Drosophila melanogaster: one gene and its partner. The protein of the gene in region 2 purifies or fractionates together with the protein of the main gene of each other region. This does not show direct contact. Each region holds a gene or a part of one and is shown on either strand. Other genes may lie near its edges.

What was found.
Region 1: the proteins of Kr-h1 (region 2) and SmydA-8 purify together in Drosophila melanogaster (affinity purification with western blotting; one study listed by BioGRID). This does not show direct contact.

The regions. Positions count from the first base shown.
Region 1 is NC_004354.4:2,204,919-2,210,511, forward strand, and holds SmydA-8 (SET and MYND domain containing, arthropod-specific, member 8), read right to left. Parts: upstream 3,761-5,593; 5' UTR 3,567-3,760; coding exon 2,616-3,566; intron 1,546-2,615; coding exon 1,108-1,545; 3' UTR 597-1,107; downstream 1-596. Other genes in the region: Mct1 (monocarboxylate transporter 1), read left to right, coding at 1-10.
Region 2 is NT_033779.5:6,089,562-6,097,011, reverse strand, and holds Kr-h1 (kruppel homolog 1), read right to left. Parts: upstream 5,601-7,450; 5' UTR 5,444-5,600; coding exon of another isoform or gene 5,192-5,443; 5' UTR 4,913-5,191; coding exon 4,768-4,912; intron 4,018-4,767; coding exon 3,305-4,017; intron 3,220-3,304; coding exon 1,859-3,219; intron 1,775-1,858; coding exon 1,456-1,774; 3' UTR 514-1,455; downstream 1-513. Other genes in the region: CG45075 (uncharacterized protein), read right to left, coding at 5,192-5,443. UniProt on the Drosophila melanogaster protein: Plays a general role in the hierarchies of gene expression leading to metamorphosis.

The DNA of each region.
Region 1 (5,593 bases), on a different chromosome or scaffold from region 2:
CCTTAGTTAGTAGTTCACCGCCACCCATCCACCACCCACAGTGCCCTGTTTATTCCTACTCCATATTTTTTTGTTTTTTTTTCTACTGTAACTATAAATCTAGATACGTACTGATGCACACGACACTTGGTTAGATTAAGTCCTAGACCTAGGCCAGCCATGTACCGAGGTATGCGTGTATGCCGCAGCTATGGCATATCCGAATAATTGTGTACGGGCGACTGTCACCGAACCGCCGGCTTCTGTCCCCCGAGCCATGACCTCTGACCCCAGACCCCAGACCCCTGACCCCTGACCCCAGACCCCATTAAAGGCCCCCATTGCAAGTGCATGCAAATGTATGCCTACACGTACATGTACCCATACCAAATTATTGTTATTCTATTATGACTGTATGCCTGTGCGTGTGTGTCCGTCTGTGTATGCGCCATTAAAGAAAGCTTTTGTACAACAACAGAAAACCACAAAAGTCCATTTTGAAATCGATTGGCTGAAAAACCACACATGCCCCTGACAATGGGAATATGAAATGTGCGGGTAAGTAGCGTTGTGCTTGAAACAATCTATTTTTTACGAAATCAAATACGAAAGATACAGGCTCTAGAAATTCATACGCGTTAAGATTACTGCAATCAGTTTTGGCCAATAGCCCCAGAAATGCAATAGATAATCCATGTACCATATAAATCACATGCCATATACATACTGCCCAGTCGACTTGCTCCTCGTCAACACAGCATTCCTTTCACATACTACAGTGCTTGCCAAGACGATCCCAAAAAAACGAATGAGAGCCCAGAGAATCTACATCGTGGCAATTTTCAACTTGTTGGTCAATCGCAGACCGGTGATCTTCGTGGCTAGTTGGCTATTCATATTTATTGTCAGGGCACAGAGGCGTTCCTCGAAAGGGGTCCACATACAGAACGGATTGCAGATATAGTTCGAAAGGATTCGGTGTTTATTGGATTCTTAAGTGACTACGAATAAAATAGCAACAAAGGGCTCGGATGCGATTCACGCCACCCCGAAAAGTACGCATTCACAAAAGCACTCACTCATTCACACCTAAAAAAAAAAAAATGAAGTTTTGAAGCTAAATATGAATCACTGAATCTCCCCGGTGATCAGCTTCTTTAGGGTACACTCTCCGGCTCCCAGCTTGTGGAGGATGGCCAACACTTCCTCGCGGTAGCGATCCATGTGGCCCATCTCCTCCGGAGTGTACTCCTCGTGGTCGAACCGCGTCATCCTCCAGATCACATTCAGCTTGGCCTCGATCAGCACGTAGTTCGAGGAGGGACAGAAGCGCGGACACAGCTCGTTGATGAAGTGGATCATGTCCTGGACACTGCACGAGTTGATACGGTTATTGATGGTGTTCAGCGCGAAGTCCTGGTACTTGGCCATCTTTGCGTGCGGGAACACGTTCTCGCAAGTGATGCACCGCCAGTCCGGCTGCAGTGTCCGAGTCTGGACGGGAATCACCAGGCCACGGCAGCCCTGTTCCCGGCAGAAAAGCGCCGACAAGTAGGTGCCGTTTTCCTGCAAGAAGACAATGGTCAGTGAATCGAAGGACTTGGGGGGAATCAGGAAATCGGGGGTGGAATCTGCAGTCAAAGATCCGGCGGGTTCACGTCCGCCTCTGTCCATTCACGGCGTACAGTTGGTTCCACTCCGAATCGAAATGGAAATCGAAATCGAAATCAGAATCGAAATCAAAATTAACATTCTGTGTGTCATGCTCATGTAAATTTTGGGGGTGTGTGTTAGTAGCCCGGGAACTTTGGATGCCCACATTAAAGGCATATAGGCAAATAGGATCAATGGACTGATAATGTATGCCTCGGAGGTCTTGAACAAGAGTGCGTTTAAGGTGTATATTTAATAGCAAGAATGGAACTGTCCAACGACTGCAGGGCTGTGACAAAGATGTCTCAAGCTCACCCAACTCCCAACAAGTAATTTTGTTACTATGCCCATCAGGCAGTCATTTTAGCAGGGAAAAGTGCGTGTGCCTGTTACCAAATGTTGCCCCTTTGCCCACTTGATGGACACCCCCCCTTGGGCGCGCCCCTGGGCCCTGGTTGATGCAAATCATATAACTAATTTAATTAGGGAACGCATTTGTGTCAGGGGGCCTGGCCAGCGGCGGCCACTGCCAACGCCAGAGGCCATTATTCAACTCATCCCAGAGCGGCAGAGAGCGGCCACATAAATAGATGTGGCCGGCCGGATATGTGGATCGCGTACGTACATACATATATGCCCATGCCACTCACATCCCTACCACACGCGCACTTTCACAACGCCGGTGACATCGGCGTTGGCCAAGAAATGTGCCCGAAATTCAGAGCTTTTCAAATTGCAATTATTGTTTTTTGTTTTGGGACAAATATATTGCGATGGTCGCGATGCAGATGGCGGATAGGGAGAATGATAGCTATCAGGTAGGTTCAGAAAAAGAGGATTGGTGGAAAGTTTGGCGAAGATTGCTATTAACCATGAAGAAACTCCATCAGCCTAGAAATGACCATAGTCAGAAGCTAAGCTTGCAGATGGTGGGAGGAGGGATTACCCAAGGAGACCAGGATTCCTATTGGTACCGTACTCACAGTATTGTCGTGACACCTCACGCAGTCGCAGGCAAAGTGCTTGGTCATCTTGAGGAAGATATTCCGGGTGAGGTTGCCCCAGAGGATCTTGGTGTAGGTCGTGGTAATCTCACCGCCCTTGGGAATATCGCGCGCAGCCCGAACCACCGCCAGTCGACCGTTTTCGAAGTAGTGACTAGCGTTCGGGGTGCACTCGTGGTTCATGATCGCCGTGAGCGGGAACAGACCCCGCAGTAGCGTCTCGTGGCCGCCAGAGCGGCAAGGAGCCTCGAAGGCATTTGTATTGAGCACGCCCACGATCCGGAACAGCTGGTCCATGAACACCCGATCCGTGGTGGGGAAGTTCCGGAAGCATTGGGCCGCCTGGATGATCTCCCGCCGGTAAGCGCGCTCCGCATTCGCTTGCATGGCGTCCACCAGATGCCGCTGTTCCTTGCCCAAGTGGAAGACCCTCACTGCGGTGAGGATCCTCAGCGACATAGGATTCACCTGCTCCTGCTCCGCATCCACGTCTTTGGGCTGCCAGCGACGGAAGTGCTCGCACTCCGCCTGGTGCTCCTCGGAATCCGAACAGGTTTCGCATACGGGCAGGGTGCAGCGATGCCGGCAAAGGAATCCCGTTTGCGGCAGGGTCTCATGACAGCAGATGCAGCTGCTCAGTTGGCCCTTTCTCGCCGTCGGACCGGTGACTAGGGCTCGCTCCTGGAAGATCAGCTCGCCGGCGGCTATGTCTCGGGTGGCAAACACCCCACGACCTGCCACCGTGGAGGAGCTGATGGTCCAGTTGGGCTGCTCTTGGCGCAGATCCCCCAAGTGGACGTCTATCAGCTGCGCCAGCTGCTCGGGCGTGGTGTCGCGACAAGGGGCCATGTGAGCGCTCAGGGCGGCCAGTGTGGTGTCTCCTCCACCACCGCCTGGGCGAGGAGGCGGGCACTGGGCAGCAGTAGACATGGCGACTGCGGTGGGAGGTCGGTCGGAACTGCGGCGAACCAACGCGACGCGCGGCAACTCGGCGAGTGAAGATGTCTCCGCGCAGCTGGGCGGACTACGCGGGAATAGCAACGATATAGTGGCGACAGCGACGACAGCAGCAACATGAGCAGCGGCAGCAGCAGCAGCAACACCACCCAGCACATCAGCAACAACAGCAACAACTGACTGCCGACAGTGGAAGCAACCCAGCAAAGCAGCGACGCTTATGACGTGGACACACCGACGCCCTCGGAGAGCATTAGACACAACTAAAAAAACACAAATTAGAGGCATCCACCAGGGAACGGGGGAAGGCGATTGACGAAAGGGGCCGGGAGGTGAGGAACGGGAAATGGGGGGGCAAGGGGACAACAGCGACAACAGTCAAATATGATTTTTTCCAAGGCACACGCACACTGAAAGCACACACACTCGCCGCCAAGTTCCCATTTACGAAATCCAAAATAACATTTTCCCCGAAGGAAAGAACTTGAGCATTGTGTTCATTGTTTTGGCCAAAATTCGGGCTATTTTTAGGCAGCTTGACACAAAAGTTCAACACTTTTTGTGAGAAGCCAAAAGTTTTGATTCCGCGATAAGCGGTTTCGAAACGTTTTCGGAGTCGGGAACGTGGAGCCACTTGGTGCGCCACTGGGAAATAGAGACATTTGGCTGGGACGACGCAAAGCGGATTTTGCTTTTGACTCTTATTCAATTTGTGCTTGAGCTGTTGTTGCCGTGTGGTTGTTGCTGCCGCTGCTGTGGTTGCTATTGTTGCGTTCAATTGGATTCGCTAGTGGGCGTCCATCGGGGGTTGACGATCGCGAGGGGCATAGTGAAAGGCACTGATGCAGCCATCAGCCATCAGCCATTCAGCCATCAAAGAACATTTCCCACTGTCAATTTGTTCGCCAAACACCTCACTGTGGCTGAAACCCCCAGCCCCCTTCACCGAAGTCTGCTTGCGGTTGGTTATGGACGCCATAAACTGAAACGAAGCCATAGGAGCACCACCCACCCCATCTCATCCCCACCTCCACCCCCATCCCATCGCTATCACCATCTTCATCCGATTTCTGTCGCCCTACGACAATCTGAACGGTTGGCAAAATTATTTGTGGAGATGCAGCGCCATTGATACCAAGCGTGTTTGTCTCCCACGCTGCTACACTGGCCAAAAATGAGTGCACGACGTAATAGGCCGCTCATGGATAGGACTGTAAGCCCTGGAGAGTGTTGCCTAAATGCATACAACGTAGAATAAGAAATGAGTACTACAATCCTGGCTGGCAGTGCAACCCACTTTCTGCGGGTCTAACTACATATGGCAGTGCGTGTGGCCGGGACATAAATTAGGGCTTCGCTGGCCAATGAGTTGCGTGTTCCAGGGGCCAAGGGGTCGGAGACACCAGGCCGCAAAACGAGGTGAGCGTCGCAACACGTGACCTGGTGGGGAGAAGGACCAGTACCAGGACCATGACCAAAAATGGGGTGGCTCCACTCCCAGCTGTTCACTTTCCGACGCGAATGTCACGCACTGTCACATGTTCCAAAGTGGAGTAGGTTCGTCCTGCCACGCCCATTCTCTGCGGTAATACGTAAATCAGTTCTAAAGCGTACGACCTCCGTTCTCCCTGCTCCTGCTACGGACCGCCAGCAACTTATAGTTCGCCCACATTCCAAATCTATTTTCACTTTTACGCGCATTTTATTGGCCCAATCGAACGGAAGCTAGACTGAGCGGCATGAAGCGAATAGAACGCACTCGAATGCCAAATATCAAAAAGCGTGAATACCAACTGAAAAATTATAGGGTGCGTTCGGGCATTATCGACCATGAGTCCTTTAAAGCTATCATGATAAATATTATTACATTAGCACAACCACAACTTTTGTAATAGTCGATCAAATGTGGAATGCCATACCTTGTTGAATTCGTAGCTTAATTTCCTATCCAGTGGCATTCCCAGCTAAAAATATTAAAATTTCACCATTTTTCGAAAAAA
Region 2 (7,450 bases):
TGCCGGCTGCCTTATCTCTTATACTAATTGCAATGTTTGCTTAGTTGTATCATAATTTGTTTATCTCTCTAGCCACCGCAAACGAAGCCTTGCTCGTTTGGCAGCTTTGCCCGTTGTACATGATTTTTAAAATTTAATTAATATTTCATTTATACAAAGGCAGACAGGAAAACTGACTGCGTCTAGTTGAAGCAGTCAAATGAATTGTAAAACCATTTTTATAATCAAAATGTTAGCTAATCGAACTGTGGTGGGTTTAGCACACCATTCGTATAGTCACAAGTGAATGATATATAAAAATGCATTCAGTAATGAAATTTCGATGTTTTATTCGCATTCAATGAGGTGGCAAACATGGTAAAATATTCCAACGAGGGTTATTAACCTCCAACATTGGTGCATCTACATTTTCATCACCGAATTGGATCGAGTTACTTCATCTGCGATTTCTCAAGCGAAATGGGTAAGTTTTTTAAATTAAAACGCCCCATTAAAATACACATACACCGAATTGGTTTATTTCACGCTTGTTTATTGATTTTCAGATTTCATTTGCGTTTTTTCATGCAATATTTGATTTTAGAATTTAAATCTATGTATTAACTCTGCGTTTACAAAAACTATGCTGACGCTCTTAATTATATTTGTTATCTTCTGGTTTGAAAATGTATATAAACGTAGTTATGCTTGCTTTCTTCTTGTTTATCAGTTCAATATTCTCCGTGTGTAAAATTAAAGTTACCGATCCTTTTTCCTCAGTTTTCCCTTATTTAGTGTATAAAATGCATATAAAATGATGGGTACATGATGTCAAAGATGCCGTTGACACTAATCGTGGAGGGGAAGGAAGAAGTTTGGCGAGCAGAGTTCATAATAAATAAGTATTATATGTATTTTATAAATATTAAGCGCCAATATGGCCATGGTTTTTCGTTCTCATTAATATGTGTATATATGTAGTTATGCGCGTAACTTATTATTGTGTACGGTTTGGATTTGGGTTTGGGTTTGGGTTTGGGCGTCGTTAAGTGATCTTTTATATATAATTAACTTAGTTATATGCTAATGCTTAATACGCATAATGCCAATTGCTGCAATTTGACTAAGTGGACAACACAGGAAAACAAACTATACCTACATTGTATATGCCAAACTAAAATGAAATTTTGCAATATGGGTGAAACTATTTTCAAATCAAACATTCAACAAAACTCGGATCAAGCCAATAAAACGTAATAGGAGGTAATATTAATTTTAAAACAAATTTTTCCCTTTTTTAATACTTTTGGCATTTTCATTTTCGCTGCTGGAAAACTATCTCACTGCCATATCCATACGTTTCTATGCTTTCTTTTTCCAGGCCTAACCCCGAACCTCAGAGAAAAAACTTAGGCTAATTTCAGTTAGAATTTGTTTGGACAGTCTTAATGCTGATTGGGGATCGGCCTTGGACCCCTAGGAGGCCTTGGCGAACTGAATGACCGAGCTCATTCGCATCACCTTGGACCCGGGTCCATCCCCGGCGCCAACGGAAGCGGCACCACCGGCGGCGGAGGTGCCATCTCCGCTAGCCTTCTCCGAATCCACCTGACCGTCGTCGCCCTTGTTCATGTAGTGCTTGCGCTTGCGCAACGGCAGCGTCATCACGTTCCGGTCGGCCATCATCAGGGAGTCGCTCTCCGGCGAGGAGCTACGTTCCGGCGACTCCGTGCTGGAACGCAGGCCGATGGCCGCCTCCACGCGTCGCACAACGTCCGGATTGGGTAGAGCGGATCTGATGGGAATAGTAAGCAATTCGATTTAGTTATACTCTTAGACAAAAACACAAGCATCCGGCTTGGGGGACCAAAATACTCACTCATATTTGGGCACTGGTGCATAGCCCTTGTGCAGCCCGTGGCGAGCGAGATCACCACGCTTGAAGTGCTCGATCAGCACGGTGGCTTCATGGGTGTCATCGTAGTTAGCCGCTAGATCGCTGACGTGCAGAGTGGGCACCTGTGGCTGGTGGCTTGGCGCCGGCTGCTCCGTTGGGGGTAAGGAGCCGTGGCCGCGGCACAACTGCATCATTTGCCAGGCGGCTGCGTGCACATCCTCATCCTGCACCTGGTCATCGTTGTCGTCATGGCGACGCGCAATGCTGGCCGCTTCAAGCAGGGCAGGATTGATGGTTAGACCAGCGGGTTGTGGCTGCAGTTCGAGTAGACTTGGCGGTGCCTGGTAGTAGTCCACAGTGCTTTCTGGCAGCTGACCCTGGACCTGTTGCATGCTCAAATCTGTGGGCTCCTCGTCTGCATAGGTGCTGTGGGCGGGCTGGGCGCTGGACACGCCGCTGTCCCGGCTCAAGGCATCCGCCTCCATCTGGACGGGCAGGTAGTGGGCCGATGTGGGTGGTGGCGAGGCCATGCTGCTGGCCGATGGCGAGTATGTGGAGCTGAGTGAGCTGGGCGAGAGCGGCGAGGAGGTAGGGATGGAAAGGGTGGCTGCAACGGTTTTGGAAACGCGCGGCTGGCGAGCCTGGCGAGGTTTCTTTGTGGCCGGTGGCGAGCTGGGCGGCGAGTGGTTGCTGCTCTCGGAGTTGCTGCTGACTCCTTGCAAGGACGGCGATCCGGCGGAGGAGCCTGCGGACGTTGATGCTGCTGCCGACGCAGCCGCCGCCTCCGCTTCGTCGTCGGGTACTTCGTTGGCATGGCCCTTGATGTGGGCCTCCATCTCCTTCTTGTTCTTGAACGTCTCGTCGCAGATGGTGCACTTGTAGCACTTGGAGCCGTAGTGCTGGACGCGATGCAGTTTCAGCACATGATTGTAGCCAAAGTCCCGGAAGCAGATGTCACAGTGGTAGGGCTTCTCGCCCGTGTGCGTTCGCGAGTGCACCTTGAGCTGCTTGGAGCAGGTGAAACCTTTGCCGCATCCCGGCTCCGGGCACTTGTACGGCTTCTCGCCGGTGTGCGTGCGCATATGGATCACCAGCTGGCCGGACTGGATGAATGTCTTCTCGCACACGGAGCACTTGTGTGGCCGCTCGCCGGTGTGAATGCGCATGTGGCGGTGCAGCTTCCCGGAGTGTTCGAATGCCCGTCCACAGACGTCACACTTGTACGGACGCTCCTTCGTGTGGATGCGCCGGTGCACCTGGAGGTTCTCCTTCACGCTGAACAGCTTGTGGCAGAACTCGCACTCGAATGGCCGTTCACCAGTGTGGGTGCGGTAGTGGCGGATCTAAAAGCGAAGGAGATATATTACTTATTAATATCACTGATATGGTGGTCCAAATATTTCAAATCTCTGTTTTCGTGACACTTACCAGCCTGGCGGGTACGGCGAATGTTTTCTGGCAAACATTGCACTGATAGGGATCTGCTCCGGCGGCCACGTTGGCCAGCGGCTTGATGGTGGGGCTCTTGGGAATGCCCACCGGCAGACCGGCATCATTGAGCTCGATGGCCGCGGTTGAGACGGGCGCAGCAACGCCGGCTCCAGAGGCGCCATTAAGCGACAGATCTTGGTTCTTCGAGTGCGACTTGGTGTGTGAGGTGTGGGCGGACTTGCTGCCAAAGGTCATGCCACACTGGTCGCACTTGAATTGCGGTTTGCTGGCGCTGGGCTTGCGCACCTGCGACACCACGGCTGCCGACGCTGGGAATCCGCCGACGGGCTCTGTCTTGATCCGCTGGGCTGATGGAGCTGCTGTGGGTGCTGCGTTCGTAATACTTTCATGTTGCTGCTGTTGTTGCTGCTTCTGATGCTGCTGGATGGCCAGTTGGTAGCTGACAAACTGCTGCTGCTCCTGCTGGTGCTGGTCCTGTAGCTGCAGTTGCATTTGTCGCTGCTGCGGCGTCTGCAGCAGCTCGAAGTGCTCCTGTTGGCCGCCGGATGGCGGAACTCCTAGGCCCACGCTCGTGGTCGTCGCTGTTAGTGGAGGCGGAACCTGGAGGCAGAACTGCGCCTGACTAGATTGTTCCGTTTTTATAAGCAGCTGGTTGGCGGAATAGTAAACCATTTTGGTTGTGGCTGAATCTGGAAGAGGGCGAAAAAGAAGGAGCCGCATTAGATTTTTGACCATAGTTAACTAGTTTGATACCTGACCAAAATAGTTGGTTCTAAATAGACTTAAGTAATAATACAAGAAATTATAAATTAGATACTGCTTATTAGTTATATTAGCAACCTATTGTTTGGTTTTTGTGGTTCTACAAAGCCAGCTTAACCATAGTATAAGGTCTAACTCCTTTGCCCCCCATCAATTCACAATCTGCGTCTCAGGAAAAACACGGAAGCAGATAGAAAGTGCAATACGGGTGGTTAGGAAAAGTCTCGTAAGAGCCAAAGGAAAAAAGGGCGTAAAGGGGAAAACCCACCCCGTGAATTTGTGCTACGCACTTTCTGTTATTGCCGGCCGGGGTTTTCCAAAATAAGGAAAACCTAGCGAGAGCTTATGGGGGGAGGAAAAGCGAAGGCGCAGGAGAGTGAGAGCCAGAGGAAATGGGAAAAATTTCATTGAGAACCCTGCCTCGAAAATGTCCCACTTGGGATATTTGGGAGATAGCATTACGAATCGTACGGTTTCCAACCGGCATTTCCCGTTGCCATCCTGCTCGCTCGCACTTTCTGTATCAGTCGCGCTGTTGTATTTTTTTTTTTTTTTGTTATGATAGTATGAACGAACCCCACAACTTCCCCCAAAACAAAAATTGCGTATACCAAAACAAAATGGCGTCGTGAGGGAACTTTTTCGGTCTGAATTTTTAGGAAAAGCATCTCAATTACCTTTCGCCGGCGATTTTTTGACGGCAACAGCCTTTGCGGGACTCTTGGATATATCGAGCAGTTCCGTGCCCGATTTCTTGAGAACATCCTTAATCCAAATTTGTTTGGGTGCCCAAGATTTTGTATCATTCTTGCTTTCAGTCATCTTGCTACTGCTCCATACAGGTTTTCCTCCTAATAATACTTTTTGATTGTTCAAGTCAAATCATTCAATTGTAAGCAAGTCTAATTTATAATATAGTTTATAAGTTTGAAGAGATCTTTTCTTATTCAATGTGTATACTTGTAAATTTATTCATTGATTTGAGTTTACAAAATCAGACTTTAGCGCTGAACTCGTGTCAGTTTTTCAGTATCAGTCCCTCGATTTGTATATCAGCAGTCTTAAGATTTATTCATTCATTTAGCTCGTCTCATGACATTTTTAGACAAGGATTTTCATTTGACGCGTGATTTTCTCCTTGATCAGGTTCTTCTTGATGATTTTGATGATTTTCTTCAAGTCCTTCGACTGTTGCACGGGATAGGTGTGTTGGTAGTGTTGCATATTTTGCGGAGGCTGCTGTTGGTGCTGATGATTGCGGTATTGGTGGTGCTGACCGCCCTGGCCCGAGCCCTTGTTCATACGCATTTTTCTGAATGATCTCAAAATATCGTTCATTGAAAAGTCGGTCATTTTCGAGGTGTGGACCACACACACACACACACACACAAGCACACGCACACGCACAACACCCGTACAAACAACACTTAACGGAGTAGAATGGGATTCAGATTATGTTCACATCGCCGCTCCCGAGGTTTTCGGTTCGATGGTGTAACGGAGACTGGTGGGTGAGTTCCCGAAAAATCTGCCTCAAACCCTGTCACGGAAAAATCAACCACCACCAACAAGAATGGTCCCATTGGATCTGAAATTTCCCTCAATTGGAAAATGTTTGAGTGCGATGACAAGGGAAATTTTCGAGTGTTTCTTTTTTTTTTGAGTTTGAGTGGTTTCGGACTTTTCCGATGACATTCTCTTTTATGGAGCACCAAAATTTCCCCGAGCTCAGGGAAATTTCATTGGTATCTAAGTTATCTGCGACGTTTATTATTTCAGACTAATTGAAAATATGTACATATACAAGCATTGAATAAACTTTGAACTCTGAAGTGATTTCATTTAAGTGATGTAATTAGTTGGGTTTTCATTGATAAGATTCTAGCATTTGAGTCATAAATGCAACGAATTAGGCAATAAGTTCTGATAGTTCTTATCGCAGTCTTATAGTTATTATTCTTTAAAGTACCAAAGTCCAACTTGCTTGCCACACTTAGCATACCAATTAACTAACAATTGCGGCAACTATACGTTTAGAGGCTACAAAATCTCAGGGATATATTTTGAGCAGTCCATCTATAGAAAGCCAACGACCAGTTTCCACCTTCAACAAGCGAACATTTATAAGAAACCCTCCCAAAAAACAGAATGAGCACGAGAAGCAAATGTTGAAATACAAAAGTTTCGGTGAAGGCAGGTTCAAAAAACTTTATCGGCTTTCGTTGTTATTGTGTCTGAATGTTTATTCGGCTGGCTGTGCGTTAAACTAGCGCAAAAGTTCATTAACATTCGACACAAAAACTATTTTTGAGTGAGTGCGGTGTTGTTGGAGGGCAGAGAATGATCACCGATCCCCCGATCCCCCGATTCGTGCGCTCGTGCTCTTTTGGGTTGCCCGACCAAAAAGTTTCTGAAGGTATGAACGACACAATATTTTTTGAGGGGGAAAGACACAATTATCTCTTATGAGTTGCTTCCCAAAACGGGGGGCAGCTAGAATGGGAAAAACGAGGGGAGGGGATTCAGCTGCGGTTCGGAAAAGTTAAAGTGCCGTTATTTTGTTGGGATAGCTCTGAAATAAAGCGACTTAAAACTGGTCTTTAATGGAAGTGATCGCCGTGTTTGGATAGATCAGTAAAGTTGCTTGGCGGTCAGTATGAAAGCTAGATACAAACAGATACCAGATTGAACGTGAAACGCTCAAACGAAACTAAACTAAACTAAAAGAAGTATTTATATTAAAATTATAATTAAATTCACTTCGGTTCACTTCCAAAAATACACCCTATTTACACATGCATAGCTATTTTACACGTGGAGATACATACGCAGAGATACAGATACATAAATTGAGTTGGTTTGGATTCGGTGTTGCTTTTTGGTGTCTTCTTTGTGGACTTTTGATGGGGTCATTGAACACTTAAATATAAGCAAATTGTAAGCTTTTCACTTCGCTTCCCCCCTCGAATCGGATTTTTTTATAAAATTACTTCTGCTCCCGTCGAGAGTATCTATTCCAACCGGAGGATCGCGTTAACATTTCACATACATATTCTAGCTAAGGTTCGATGAGCCCCGATAAGATAAGGCAATATAACACGACACGTTCGCCGTTTTTCAATTCATAGGATGTCCCTCAATGAAATTGTACGCTAAAGTTAGGGCTCTAGGCAGACTTATCAAACGAGAACTATCAACAGCGATAAGATATTGAAATTAAGCGAATGAAATTGGAGTGACTGGAAATTCCATGGTGGGGAATATGGCCGGAAGGATTGAAAATTCCAGTCTAAAGCACAATTATTAACCTTCGACTATTAAGGCTCAAATTATGAACATACTAAATGTTTTAAAATATAT